3 linked regions of the Schizosaccharomyces pombe genome follow. The gene in region 1 interacts genetically with each later gene. Each region holds a gene or a part of one and is shown on either strand. Other genes may lie near its edges.

What was found.
Region 2: mutations in pud1 (region 1) and mug73 together harm fitness less than expected from each alone (positive genetic interaction), as found in Schizosaccharomyces pombe (one large-scale study listed by BioGRID).
Region 3: mutations in pud1 (region 1) and irc20 together harm fitness less than expected from each alone (positive genetic interaction), as found in Schizosaccharomyces pombe (one large-scale study listed by BioGRID).

What each region holds. Positions count from the first base shown.
Region 1 is NC_003424.3:1,190,814-1,194,314, forward strand, and holds pud1 (pseudouridine-5'-phosphatase Pud1), read left to right. Parts: upstream 1-1,687; 5' UTR 1,688-1,731; coding exon 1,732-1,779; intron 1,780-1,848; coding exon 1,849-1,891; exon of another isoform or gene 1,892-1,965; coding exon 1,966-2,028; exon of another isoform or gene 2,029-2,102; coding exon 2,103-2,197; exon of another isoform or gene 2,198-2,248; coding exon 2,249-2,332; exon of another isoform or gene 2,333-2,383; coding exon 2,384-2,800; 3' UTR 2,801-2,943; downstream 2,944-3,501. Other genes in the region: Rab family GTPase Ryh1, read right to left, coding at 3,384-3,501.
Region 2 is NC_003421.2:623,016-626,580, reverse strand, and holds mug73 (transporter mug73), read left to right. Parts: upstream 1-2,053; coding exon 2,054-2,974; 3' UTR 2,975-3,065; downstream 3,066-3,565. Other genes in the region: RNA-binding protein mlo1, read left to right, coding at 356-1,093; msy1 (MS ion channel protein 1), read right to left, coding at 3,522-3,565. UniProt on the Schizosaccharomyces pombe protein: Has a role in meiosis.
Region 3 is NC_003424.3:4,657,227-4,664,343, forward strand, and holds irc20 (ATP-dependent DNA helicase), read left to right. Parts: upstream 1-1,870; 5' UTR 1,871-2,029; coding exon 2,030-5,351; intron 5,352-5,370; exon of another isoform or gene 5,371-5,391; coding exon 5,392-5,657; intron 5,658-5,695; coding exon 5,696-5,895; intron 5,896-5,937; coding exon 5,938-5,978; intron 5,979-6,018; coding exon 6,019-6,317; 3' UTR 6,318-6,617; downstream 6,618-7,117. Other genes in the region: ornithine decarboxylase Spe1, read right to left, coding at 1-792.

The DNA.
Region 1 (3,501 bases):
TTATTTATGATGTATGCAATGCACTCGATTTGTAAGCAATTCTGTGTTTGTATTCTTTGTTTGGCTGAAGCTCTAGTTAAGCCATATTGTTGGGCCTAAGTAAATTAAATTTTCAAAAAAAAATTAATAGGCTGTAACTAAATAAAGAGAAAATAAAGAAAATAGATAATAAAAAATATGAAAACAGTTTAACTAAAAATATAGACAGTAGTCTTATGATACTTTATAGAATCTTGTGATATTTTTTTGTATTTACCCTTTTTTTTATTTACACTTGGCTTCTTTCAACAATCCACTCGTTTCAACTGCTTTGCTCGACGCACTCATTACAAAATCCTACAAATTCCCATGTAACCGGAGCCGCATGAGGAGACTTTCAAAAATGTTTTATCTTTGTTTTCTGTCCTCACGGCAATCTGCATTTGTTATTTATTGCTGTGTTAAATATCCATATTTTTCGTCATCCGGCAAAGATCCTCCAACTCGCCTAACAGTGAGGTACTTGTGACCTTGGTTAAAACAAACTTTGACTGTTTTTCTACACTCGGTCCAACAATTTCACATTATAGTTGACACGATTCTACGACATGGCTAACGTGCGTCGCTATTGTACTTGTAAATTTTGTCTGACCAGCTCTTCTTTTCAAAATACATGGCCAAAATGGGTTCCAATAGCTAACTGATTAGTCACCATTTTATGAACAGAATCCAAGTGGCTTTATCAGAAACGCTTTAAAAACCAAAGAGAGTAATTAAAACAAAAAAAATTCAACATAGCATACTTCATGAGGGAGAATGGCTGGTCATTGAGACTTTTCCTTTTCCCTCAACTTCTGTTTATACAATGTTTTAGTATGAGATTCCTGGGCGAATCATTGCCTGCTTGATTCGAGAATAATGCGTGAGCTGTTCGCTATGTTCAATTCTGTTATACATCGCAATATGTCAAATGTTTTATTTCTCTATTCACTGTACATAAATGATACAGGATAGGTTCATCATTGCTTATAGTCAGCTGGATATTATTCATTGATATATAATGAGAGCCTAACAGAACCAGTATTATTCAATTTGGAAATGAACGATCTCAGTGTCAAAATATTCATCACCTTCATAGAAAAATATCCCAAAACAATCGCTAACTTACACTACCTGGGTACCGCGATATAGATAAGTAAATTACAAGGAAAATTCACCACAGCTTAAGGCATCATTAAAACCGGATTACAATTTCATGGTTAATATAAACGCTTAATTCTCTTTCAGTAGTGCGGTTGAATTCTCACTAAAACAGATTAACGAACTCTTCAATATTGCTCCCAATCATCCGACACACGGATTTACTCTAATCTACGATTGTTGATTACTTATTGCAGTTTGCACAGTTTTGGGATTTAGCTATTTTTCATTCTGCCTAATTATCACGCCTTACTGTATCGACGTTTCTTTGTTGATCTTTAACAACTGTCCTTATTTTTTGGTTTTTCGCGGATTTTTTTAATTAGATATACAGTTAACACTTCATTTGTCGGTGTCTTTGTTTTCTTTAATTGTATTTGTATATTTAATTGTTAATTCTTGTTTTGGAAGATTTTATACTTTTTTATTGGTTATACAGCAATATACTTTTTTGAAACTTGATTTTTTGGATATCCCGGAAGTTTTTTTTCTGCTTTTTTTTTTCTTTGGTTTTGTTAGGTCGTAGAAGCTTCACTATCTTTTTACCTAGAAATGGCTGCTAAACACGTAAAATACATGGCTTGTCTATTCGATATGGATGTATGTTTATTTTTCACACCACATTACCTCTTATGAAAGCTTTTGCATTAACAATCACTCTTTTTACAGGGTCTACTTGTCGACAGTGAAACTATTTATACAAAGACGACCAGTATGTAAATAATATATCTGTGCTTATATTTAGCACAAAACTACAATGTTTTCTAATCTTTATTTTTTTTATAGATCTTATATTGGACAGGTATGGCAAGGATCCTCTTCCTATTTCTGTTAAGGCTCAAATGATGGGTATGTTATATAAAGCTAGCGAAGAGATATTTTAAAATGCTTTCAAAATTGCAGGTCTAACTTGCGATACGTAGGGAGACCGGGTTCCGCAGCTGCCAAGGTTGTTATAGATTGGTCCAACATTCCTATGACTCCTCAACAATTCGTTGATGAACAACAGGTTATTCGGGTACGTACTTATACGCTACATTTATTTCCATTTCAACTAACTTTCTGAAAGGCAAAGTTTTGGTCGTCTTTGAAGCCTATGCCTGGGGCTGAATCTTTGATTAATAACCTCTCCAATCATGGAATTGATATCGGGGTATGTACTCATCCCTACGCTATAATAAAAGTGTGCTAACAGCATCACCAGCTTGCTACTTCCTCTAATACCGCAAATTATAATATGAAGACAGCCCATCTTAAACATATTTTTGAGAAATTTGGTAAAAATGTTATTACAGGTGATAATCCTAGTATTGCACCTGGTCGTGGCAAACCTTTTCCAGACATTTGGCTGAAGGTGTTGAATTTAATAAATGAAAGTAGGAAGCAGCGAGGTTTGAAGGCACTTACACCAAGCCAATGCATTGCCTTTGAAGACAGTATTCCCGGTGTCAAAAGTGCAAAGGCTGCAGGAATGCATGTCATTTGGGTTCCAGATGCTGCCATCAAAAACTTGGTAGGGGATCAGCTGAATGAGATTGTTGATTCTCAATGTGAGACGTTACCGAGTCTTTCAGAGTTTGATATAAACAAATATCTTAACATAAATTCAAAGCAGGCCTAGAGGTTATATCCGCTAACTTTTTTTTGGTTCATTCAATTTTTTTTGGCAAAAAACCTCATATCTTTTAATAAAATTAAAAAATTGAAGTATAAATAAAGTTCTACTGTTTCAATGAAAACCTTGAACTGACTCACATAGCATAAATAACTTATGAGTAAAGGGAAAAAGCGAAATCTAAAAAAAAAAAAATAATAACATTTCTCTGAATTCCAAAATCATACATTGTAATTTTTTTCCTTCTTTGCAAATGCCCTTGAAAAGTCAAGAAGCACCGCAGGGATTAAACGAAAGAGACTTATTCAGAAATTCAACTTCTCACTTTTGTAAAGCATATATCATAGAGACAGGATTAAAATAAAAAAGGACTAAAACAAGTAAAAAAAGAAGGAAAAGGAAACAGGTATAAAAGGAATCGCGATTCTTTAAAGGTGCAAAAGATTTAGGGGCTATAAGAAGATATATATATACTCACAGTATACTTTTTGAGGGTCAAATGACATTAAAAACCGCTGATTGCGGCCTGAAGCGAAAAAAAATAATTCACGAAACAGTTAGAGTACACTGACATGTTCAATGAGATACACTAGCAATTGCAGCTGCTTTCATTCTCGTTAGGCTGAATGCTAACGTCAATCATTTGAGTGCTTTGTGTTTCCACATTCTCCATGCCTGGTAACATTTGTGCAATTTTCCTAAACAAC
Region 2 (3,565 bases), on another chromosome or scaffold:
GCCAATTCAAAATTACGATTAATTAAAGTAAAAAATAAATATTAAATAATCTAACTGATTACTGATTTTGATTCGTACATTTCATATAAAAGGGAGAAAGTATATCCCAACATCGTTTATAGACATTTTCTTTGAACCATCTCCTCACCATAGCACAGTAAACATTACATAGCGATACGCAAAATAGCACCACTATGTTTGACACAATCATCACTCCAATTCACTACGCTTCATTTGCGCATCCAACATGTCTCACTAAAGTTGGCTGGTTCGTACATATTCACCCTTGTCAACTGCGTATATCCCGAATTCAATAAACGTGTTATTTTGACGCGCATATACGTCTATATTCATAATGTCAGATTACAAGAGTCTTAAAGTTGCAGAACTGCGTGAAAAACTTGCGGAGAAAGGCCTCTCCACTGCTGGAAACAAAGCTGAATTGGTAAGCCGATTGACAGCAGCGACCGAGAGTAACGATGAAAATACTTCGAATAACAACGCTACAGATCTAGGAGATCTTGCTCCTCCCGAGGATGATATTGATTGGGGAGACATGGAGAATGATACTATTTCAACTGACGTTAACAAGCCAGCAGAACCCGAAAGTAAAGAGACCAGTGCTCCTGCCGCTGCTGTAGAGATTGAAAAGGAAAATGAAAGCATTATTTCGAAAGAGACTTCACAAGCTCCTGAAACTTCCACTGGTGCTGAAGAGCATCAAGAAACCACAGAGGAATCCAAACAAAGTGTATCTAATGAAGTCTCTAGCCCAGATGTAGCTAAAGAGCAAGAAAAACTCATCCAAAGGGCTAAACGATTTGGCATTCCTGTGGACGATGAACAAATTAAGAAAGCTGCTCGTGCTGCACGTTTTGGCATTCAACAACCTTTAGCGTCAAGTAATAACAAAAACCATAATCAATCTAAGAACCCTCAAAATCGTTCCAACTCACGTTCTAAACAAAGAAATAAGAATGCGCCTCCTAAAAGTGCTCCATCCAAGCGGAAGAGTAATATTTTGGACGACCCTATAGAGGCAGAAAAAGCTAGGAAGCGTGCTGAGCGCTTTGGTGTTGCTGCCAAGAATTAAAGTAACCATTTAACATATTTTAACTTCTTATTTTACAATATGACTCATGTTTCTTGAAGTTTTCTCCTCATGCCATGCTTTATTTGTATGCTTAATGCTTTTTTGATGAATTAGAACTTTTGAATTCCTATTTGTGTATATAAATTATACCCAGACTTTTGCTTCACTTTAAACAACTTATCCGAGTACAAGCATCCGATATTGGAGCCCTAAACGCTTCTAATTTCAATCCTACCTTTTAGGTGTGTTTTAAAACATCTGTGAAAACTCGGTTTTATTTTTTTAATAGCTTTTTGGGGCGTGATGTAAGTATTTCCTAGGCGAATTCTTTAATAGTTACCTATACTCATATGTTTTCCATTTTTAAAAAACTCTTCGTTCTAATCGTTTTGACATACACATTCGTTACAAAGATTTTCCACTCTGCTATCCATATGTATATATTTTGATGAGCTTATTTGTATTTAAGAAAAAGAGAAGGATTGTAATGTTTATATGATGTATCCACCTTTACTTCCAACAATGTCGAAATTCTTAATTTTTGTACATAAACTATTTTCTACAGGTTGGAATTTTATTTTTTTATTATACCTTTTTGTTTCTCAACTTCGGACTTCTTCTGTAACGTGCGACTTTACCTGTTTTGCTGTCATCGGTAAGTAAGAAAAAGTGAAAAATTTGACATTGCTGGCTGTAATGTTCTTTTGCGTTTTCTCAATTAGAGTCAATTAAAATGCCTTTTAATGGGAAAGAGTAACATCATTGTTTGTTTACATGTTGAAGTTTGTTTGTTTACAAACATGGCTTTTTAATCGACTTTTCTCAGAGCCACCTTCACCGTGTCTCAGCTACCCATTATTACAAAGTTTTGACTTTTCAACTCAACTAGTATCGCTACCTTTAAGAATATAAGAGTTGTTTCTATATCTTTTAATCCAGCCTCTATCCTGTTTACGCATCATGAATGCGAAATTATCTTCCTCCGGAATGGTACTGAAAGAGCTTCCGGAAGTCGCTTTGCAAAAGATAAGCTCAAACTACTATTGGGCTGTTTTTGCAGTGTTCCTGCTGTGCGCAATTGTCTTTCCTTTAGTATCGATATTCAGTTTGCCTCAAAAGCAGACTTACCACCGTTTCTTTTCCATCCTCAGTTTGGTTTCTTGCTTGGCCTACTTTACCATGGCCTGCAATTATGGATTGAAAAATGTGTTTTCTTCTGCTTCTTTTTTTCGAGAAGTTAGTGTACGAATGGTTTACTATGTTCGCTATATTCAATGGTTAATCAATTTCCCATTAATCATCGTAATGCTACATTGGACGGTAGGCGTATCTATACTAGAAATTGCATATGTCGTTTGCTATGTGCTTTTTGCGATTGTTTGCTTACTGGCGGCAGCATTAACTTCATCTCCCTATAAATGGGCCTATTACGGATTTTCGTTTGTAGGCTATTTTATTGCATTGGCACACTCAGTCGTTTTGCATAAAAAGTATGCTAGCCGTTTAGAGACGTCTGCGCGCCTAGGGTTTTTATGGTCAATTGTTTACTTACATGTCATTTGGTTCCTCTATTATGCATGTTGGATTTTATCTGAGGGCCTCAATGTTATCTCGCCAATTGGAGAAGCCATATTTTACAGTATATTAGATCTTTTCGAATTCGGCTTTTTTGGCGCTGCTTTTTCTTGGATGCTAGACTTGGTTGGTATTGAAAACTTTAAATCGCCTCAATCGATACCCTTAGGGGCATGCAGTCCTGCTGATGACAAGTTTTCAATGTGTCCGGACATGGAGGCACAAAACCAAGCTGATGATTTGGCCGTTGAAACTCGCATTCAAATTTCCAATTTACCTTCTTCACCTACGAAAAATAATTGCTAATAACAGTACGCATCGTTGCAGTTATCTTTGCTTAGTTATAGAAATTTACCTTCCGTTTTTTTTTTTTTTGTTTTTTAATCATTATTTGTTTCCTGAATGTTTAAAACAAACTCGAAGTTTCGCTACGAGAATTTCGTTGGCATTCTAAAACACAAACACTTTTTCGTGAAAAATTACGATTATGAAAACGAAATAATTATTATAAAAACGAAACCTTTGAACAATTATTAACGTTCATTCGCACTTGAAACGTCTAAATTTACGACGGTGAGTCATTGTTTACGTGAAAAAAGCATTATACTAGTTTTAGTTTAAGATTATTCGTAAATCATTTGCATAACTTTTACGAAACTTTACAAGGCATAGCTAATATTAATACAAAAATTTGCTGTTGAGATACAATATACGTTTAAACATTTCATAGAATAATAAATAAAAACTAAAAAAAAGAAACAAATAGTGCCCAAAATGGTAAATAGCCACTTTCAACGAATGAAGTAAGTAAAACTAGCATGAGCGATGCAAGTTTGCAAAGTGTTATGGGTATTTAAAGTCGAGCAGACTTAGAAGTATTATTTTCGTTTGGCTCAC
Region 3 (7,117 bases), 3.5 Mb from region 1:
ACCAATGTCCAACAAGTCAAAATTAAATCCCCTTTCAAGTCCCTGATCAAATACCTGACGAGATCGTTGGATAGCATCCAAAAATGCTGAGGGATCATAGCTTCCTGACCCAACGTGAAAGCTAACACCGACGACATTTAACTCCAGGGACTTTGCGATGTCTAGCAGCTTACCAGTATCATCGAGAGAAGCACCAAACTTTAGACTGAGACGGCAAAGACTATTGGAATCATCGGTAGAAATACGAAGAAGAAGACGTGAGTTGGGATGATGTTGTTTCACCTTGTACAGCTCATCGGCATTATCAAAAGTCATCAGATTAATGCCTTTAGAAGCAGCATAGCGCACATAAGTTATGGCTTTACAAGGATTGGCGTATACAATTCGATCAGGGGATACACCTAAGCCAAGAATTTGTTCGAGTTCACCCTTAGAAGCACAGTCAAAACCAGTTCCAAATTTATTAAGCAATGCAAGTACCTTAGGATCAGGATTACATTTGACTGCATAAAATGGTTGAACACGAGGTAATTTAGCATGCCAACGAAGAAGTTGGCGATATACTCCGTTCAAATCAGCAACAAAAAATGCATCAGAGTCAGCGGGTTCACCACGGACAGCTGCACGCTCAATTTCCTCAATCGTGTTTTTAAACGCCTCACCAATCGCCTGGCGAGACGATCCAGGCGAAGACCATGTCACCACTGAGTCAATTGGTTTAACATGGCCAAGTAATTCCGTCGTACGCAACGACTCGCTGACGAGCATATTCTTTTCCATAATAGCAGGCATCGTGTAAGTAAGCTTTTTCTCTTCTAGAAATTCCGAGATCACTAAATTGAATCGTTGAATAATTTTTCTTCGGATACAAGCTAAACAAACGTTTTGTTTGTCAACTGCTCGCTTTACAATAATTTTACTATTTCAAATCAATCAATGATTTGAAATCTGCTGTTGATCAAAAAGTCCTTATTCGAGAGATTGTCTTAAATAGGAGACGTAGACGGAAATTTGCACTTTTATATACTTTTGGTGGTCGCGCAAAAAGAGCGTTTATCCTTCCAGATTCTTTTTCTTACCCACTTGTCACTGTTTTCTGCTAATTCCCAATCGTGTTGTTGGTTAAGGGTAAGTTCAATTTTGCAATGTGTGCGTACATAAAAAAATATTACACACTAGTAGAATTAACCTTAGTTTAGCGTTTGTCTTATTGACATAATAGTCTAACAAATCGAATTGCAATGTAATACGGTAAACGCAGTTTGGTTTAACAATATTTGCGACGACAAGAATCCTTCAAACTAGGATATTTCTTTAATATGTATACAATCTTTAGTTTATATTTTGTACTTTAGTTTATGACAATAACAATAATCTTTGTCCAGTGAAGGTGACATCACTTTTAAAAACTTTCCTACCAGTTTACGTTTTATTTAGAATTTATATTTTTTTGCTAATTGAATTAAACTTGGTAATCGATATATACTTAAAGGATGAGCACAGTGTTTTAGCAATAAGGAATAGTGTGTTTGTACAATACCGAGTAAAAAGGGCTCTTTCTTTTAGCCAGCAAATGAGATATTAAGTGTATCGGTAATTTTAATAGTATTTACAATTTACTTACTAATTAACGTAGATGTTATTTCTTAGGTAATTTTGAGTTCTAATTCGTGTTTGTACTGATTCAACCGTGAATAATAGAATTCCCTTACAAACGATTTATCGATATTTACCTTGTCGTACTTTTAAACCAAAAAAAAAAAGAGGGAAGAAAGGTGGGGAAAAAATACCAAAGTAATATTCGACTCTGCAAGCTTTAGCAAAAAAAAAGTGGCACATGTTTTAATCAAGACACTTTTTGCCCACAACTAAGAACAAAAGCACATAACACAATGCCTACCCTTTTGTGTTCTTGAGGGTTTATATATTTTCGTTTATTTCTTTGTACATTAAAGAATTCTATTCATTCTAAAATTTTTAAGTCTATTGGTTCAAAACACGACTGTATTTAATTAAGAGAGGGAACATTATGGACCGAACTAAGAGGCGAAAAATAGAGAAGGAGGCTTCCTTACTAAATGAAAGAAACAACCTTTTGGAAAGTGATTTCGCCAATTGCTACCGTGCATTCCAGCACCAACTCAAGCTAGACCAGCAGATATGGCGTGGACCAGAGGACGAGTTAAATCGGCTAAAGTCTACTATTTATCCTGTCGTTTTTTGGGTTGATGGATCTGAGAAACTACATGCATATAGTTTTACTCAAAGAAAAATTTCATTGGCCAAAAACTTGATTCCTTTGTTTTCTGTCGACTTGAATAAGGATACTTACTCTGCTTTAAAAGCACCTCTCAAAATTTGGAGTAAGCTTTGGGAGGATAATAGGCGGCTGAAGAAAATTATAAAATACACATCTTATGTTACTGTAAAAGGATCCGAGTTAATTTTGTCGTTTGGCATTTCCATACTCGACTCTTTTCTTGCCCCTCAAGATGCGATTCTTTCATCTGGATCATCTTCCTCATACACTGCTTTACTAGACTATACGTTCCTTCCGTCTGAAGATGAGGAATATTCTTGTTTAGATATTAACACTGCACTATTTTACGATTGTGCAAGAAAATTGGCAAAAAGCCTACGTTTCGCCAATGTATCACGCGATCCAAGGCTTTCTTCGGAACTTTTACCATTTCAAATGCGTGTTTTAGAATGGATGAAACGAAGAGAAGAAGAGAAATTCCTAACCTCAAATGATTTACCACCTCTATGGTACCATTGCAAAAGTCTTTTTGATGATCGAATGGTTTACGTTAATCATGTTTACGGCTATATGACATTTTCGAAAGAAAAAACATATTTGCTTGCGTCCGGTGATATACGTGGAGGCATTTTAGCCGATGAAATGGGCATGGGAAAAACTTTGGAAGTCTTAGGATTAGTTTTGCATCATCAGTTGCCAATTTCTTTGACTGATACTTGTACTTTCGATCAGGTCGTCGGAAAAAATGTAAAGTATTCCAAGGCCACCCTAATAATTACGCCTTCTACAATTCTCGATCAATGGTTATCTGAGATAGATTTGCATGTGCCATCATTGAAAGTATTCCATTACCAAGGAATCCGAAAATCCAATGGTTTGAAATCAGCTAAAATTTTTTTGGATTGTGATATAGTGGTAACATCTTATTCTGATTTACGGTTTGAGCTATTGTACACTGAATCTCATTCCAGGACCTTAAGACATGAAAAGCGACATGTTTCTCCAAAGTCTCCATTGATTGATGTATGTTGGTGGAGAATTTGTGTTGATGAAGCTCAGATGGTTGAAACTTCACAGAGTAATGTCGCACAAATGATTTATCGCATACCTCGTGTCAATTGTTGGACTGTAAGTGGAACTCCCGTACGTAGTGAAGTTGATGACCTTTTTGGCCTTTTATTTCTTCTTCGCTACTCCCCTATGTATTTATACAAAAAACAAGCTTGGATGCAAATTATAGAGAAGAAACGTGTTCGTGAATTTTGCGATCTGTTTGGCTCCCTTGTATGCAGACATTCTAAACAGGACGTTGAAGAAGAATTAAAATTACCTCCTCAACATCGAATCTGCATGACTACAAGACTTAGTGTAGTAGAAGAAACGAACTACCAGGATTTATTATCAGAGGCGGCCAAGTCTTTGCACTTTTTCAAAGACAGAAATTTGGATTTGTGTGACGAAGAATCTATGAGGCGTTGGTTGGTTCGTTTACGACAGGCATGTTGCCATCCGCAGGTTGGATTTGGTAACAAATCCGCATTTGGAGGTGGACCCATGAAAAGCATTAATGATGTATTAGTTTTTATGTTGGAACAAACAAACTCTACATTCTCCTCGTTAAACAGGAAGCTTTATTCCGATAAGATTATTGTTGGTCAAATATATGATCATATTAAAGACTATAATAAAGCATTGGCTATTTGGTCTGAAGTCAGAATACCTGTCGAGCTCGCTGTCAAAGAATTAGAAAATGTTATTTACAACTCTAAATATGAGGACCATGGTAAAAATTTACCGATTAATTATTTTGGTTTGGATCATTTCATTCATCTGCGTGTTTGGTATGTTCTATTGCATAAAATATACTTTTTTATAGCAAGCGCTTATTTTTCTTTAAAAAACGAAAAGTTTGAAAATGAATTTTATTTGCTCGCGCAGGATTTAAGAAGGAAGATTATGAGTGATGTGATTATCAAAACCAGCAAGCACCTTGAAGAGTTTTCAGAAAAATTTATTCCAAAGAAACTTGTCAAAATACCACGATTACAGAAATCTTACGCAAAAGGTCTCATAACCGGACATGGTATAATTGAAGACTATAATAGACTTTATAAAGAGTTGAATGATCAAAAGGAGGTGCTTATAAAATTTAGAGATCGGCTTATCCATTTGATGAAACTTCCACTTCTGGATCAAGAATCGGATCCGACCGGCGATGAATACGAAGAATCATTGAATGCGCAATCAGAGATATCCTATTGTATTGATGTTTACCGTCAAATGCTTTCAGATCGAGTAGCGGCAGTCAGCGGTACTATTAATACCTTTGTGTCTCATGAAACAGAACTTGAGAAATACAAACTTATAGAGAGTATAAAAAAATCGGAGAAATCGTTAGACAAGCAGGCTGAAGAACGTGATAAAAAATATTTGCTTTACTTTGAGGAAAGGGAAGAAGCAAGGCCAAAAGCAGATCAATACGGATCATTAATAAATATAGTTTCAAGACTGTTAGATGCATCAAATAGATCCACCTCAAGTTTTGAAACTTCTAAAAACATGGAAGAATATGAACGGATTGATGCAATGGCAAAGGAGCAATCTAGAATTTGCCAAAAATTGGAAAAAGAATTGAGTATAATTCAGTTGACTTATAATTCAAGGATTGAGTACTATAAACAGCTGCAGGAAATTTCTGACTCTTTGATGCCTCCTCCCGTTTCAAATATCAGTTTAAACAATTACGTTAAAGACGACGAAAAAAAACAAAAATTTTTGAACTCTGTTATAATTAAAGCTTCGGTGATTTTGGAAAAAGAAATTTCAGAAAAGCAGGACGAAGCAAGTCAAACAACAAACGTAGCAGAACTCGTCAATCAAAAAATATCCGAAATGAATATACCTGGACATATCCATCTGCTGCGAGAGCTAGAAGAGGAAAAAAGCAATACCCAACGTAAAATTGCTCACTTCGAATCAAGGAGAAGGTATTTAACAAACCTATATGAACATATTGTCCTTAAAGCTGAATCTCATCAGATTTGTATAATTTGTCGTGATATAATTAAGCAAGGTTTTATAACAACTTGTGGTAAGTATTTGTTGGATCGTTTATCTAGTTAACTTGTTAGGCCATTTGTACTGTAGTTTTTGTTTGGAAGCGTGGTTGAAGCATAGTTCGTCGTGTCCAATGTGCAAAACCAAATTGAACAAAAATAATGCTTACTATATTGGCGAAAGTAGGGATATATACTCTCGTCAAGAGTTTGTCACTGGTTTCAACAAACGAGACGAAAGGCTTGAAATTCTCGACGATGAAGCATACAGGCAAATTTCTAATATGGAGTTAAAGGAGTCATTTGGATCAAAAATTGACACAATATCTAAACATCTTTTGGTAAGCAACATTTGTATTTAGAGTGGATCTAACTTTAGTATTTGAAACATAACGAACTTTATCCTAAAGTTGTTGTATTCTCTCAATGGCTTGATGTTTTGGATGTTTTGCACAAGTCATTTGAAGCGAATGGTATCGTCTTCATACGTTTTGATGGAAAGTCAAAGAACACTTGCCTAAAAAGGTTTAAAGAAGAACGTAGCTTACAAGTACTTACTTTACATGCAAGATCGCAATCGTATGTTTAAACTGTTTAATTATTTGTTCTAATCTTCATTAGATCTGGTTTGACGTTAACAAATGCCACTCACGTTTTCATGTGTACGTCGATATCTGTATTAACAAGTTTTAACATTGACAGGTGAACCATTACTAAATAGTGGAATTGAAATGCAAGCAATTTCACGCGTTCATCGAATTGGGCAAACTCGTCCGACGTTTGTTTACTACTACATTGTGGAAGATACTGTTGAAGGTCATATTTTAAATCTTTCATTGACCAAACATGAGCAGCTTGACAAACTAGGTTTGGATGTACCGCTAGTTGGTAATATCAATCGCACTACTGAAGCTAGCAGCGGCGGAGAACAAGTTGATGCCGCAGAAATTAAAGATTGTCTTAAAATGGCTTTAAAGCGGCTCACCACAGAGGATTCATGAACATGAAAAAATTGATTTTAGAGAATGATGCTGATAGGTCAGGTTTAAACAGAATAAACGGCAATACTGTACTACTTATTGGTGACAGTGATGTATGGTTAATCCTGAAGTACCCCTTCGCTCAATACTGTTCAATTATTCATCTGTTATTAAAGCAAAGCACGAAGCATTAGTTGGTTTTCACTGGTTAGATTGTGCAAACACTTAGAGTCCGAATTACAGGAAACTTATACTTAATTTAACATTGTACTGTTGTATTAATTATAACCACTTTTTTAAATACAAACCTATGTAAATATTAGAAATTAATATAGCAAGAAAGGTCGCATTTCTCATTCTGGGTATTGGATTAAAACATATTGTCTTTGTTTTTCATTGATATCAGCGATGTTACTGGGCTATTAAATGCGATGTTAATTTATAACTATAACTATAGAATGAACATACGTTTGTGCTACGAATATACACTCGTTGTTATTAAGTTATCTTTTTTTTTTTAATAAAAATGAACAGGACTATTTGAACTATGAAACGTAAGTTCTTTTAGCATCATATTCAATTATAGTTAAACAAAATTGTTTATTACTATTAAAATAACACTGATTATCTTTGGAGACATACTTTATATCAAATTACAATAATTATTAATAAAACTCATTGCAATTTATTTTTCTCAACTGCGTTAGCTAATTCACTGCTACGCGATATAACTAATTAACGATTGCTGCTTCAGCTCGATAATTCCTTTTCGTCAAGGATACATTGCGATATAGTCTTAAGAGAGCAAACTGCATAAAGCC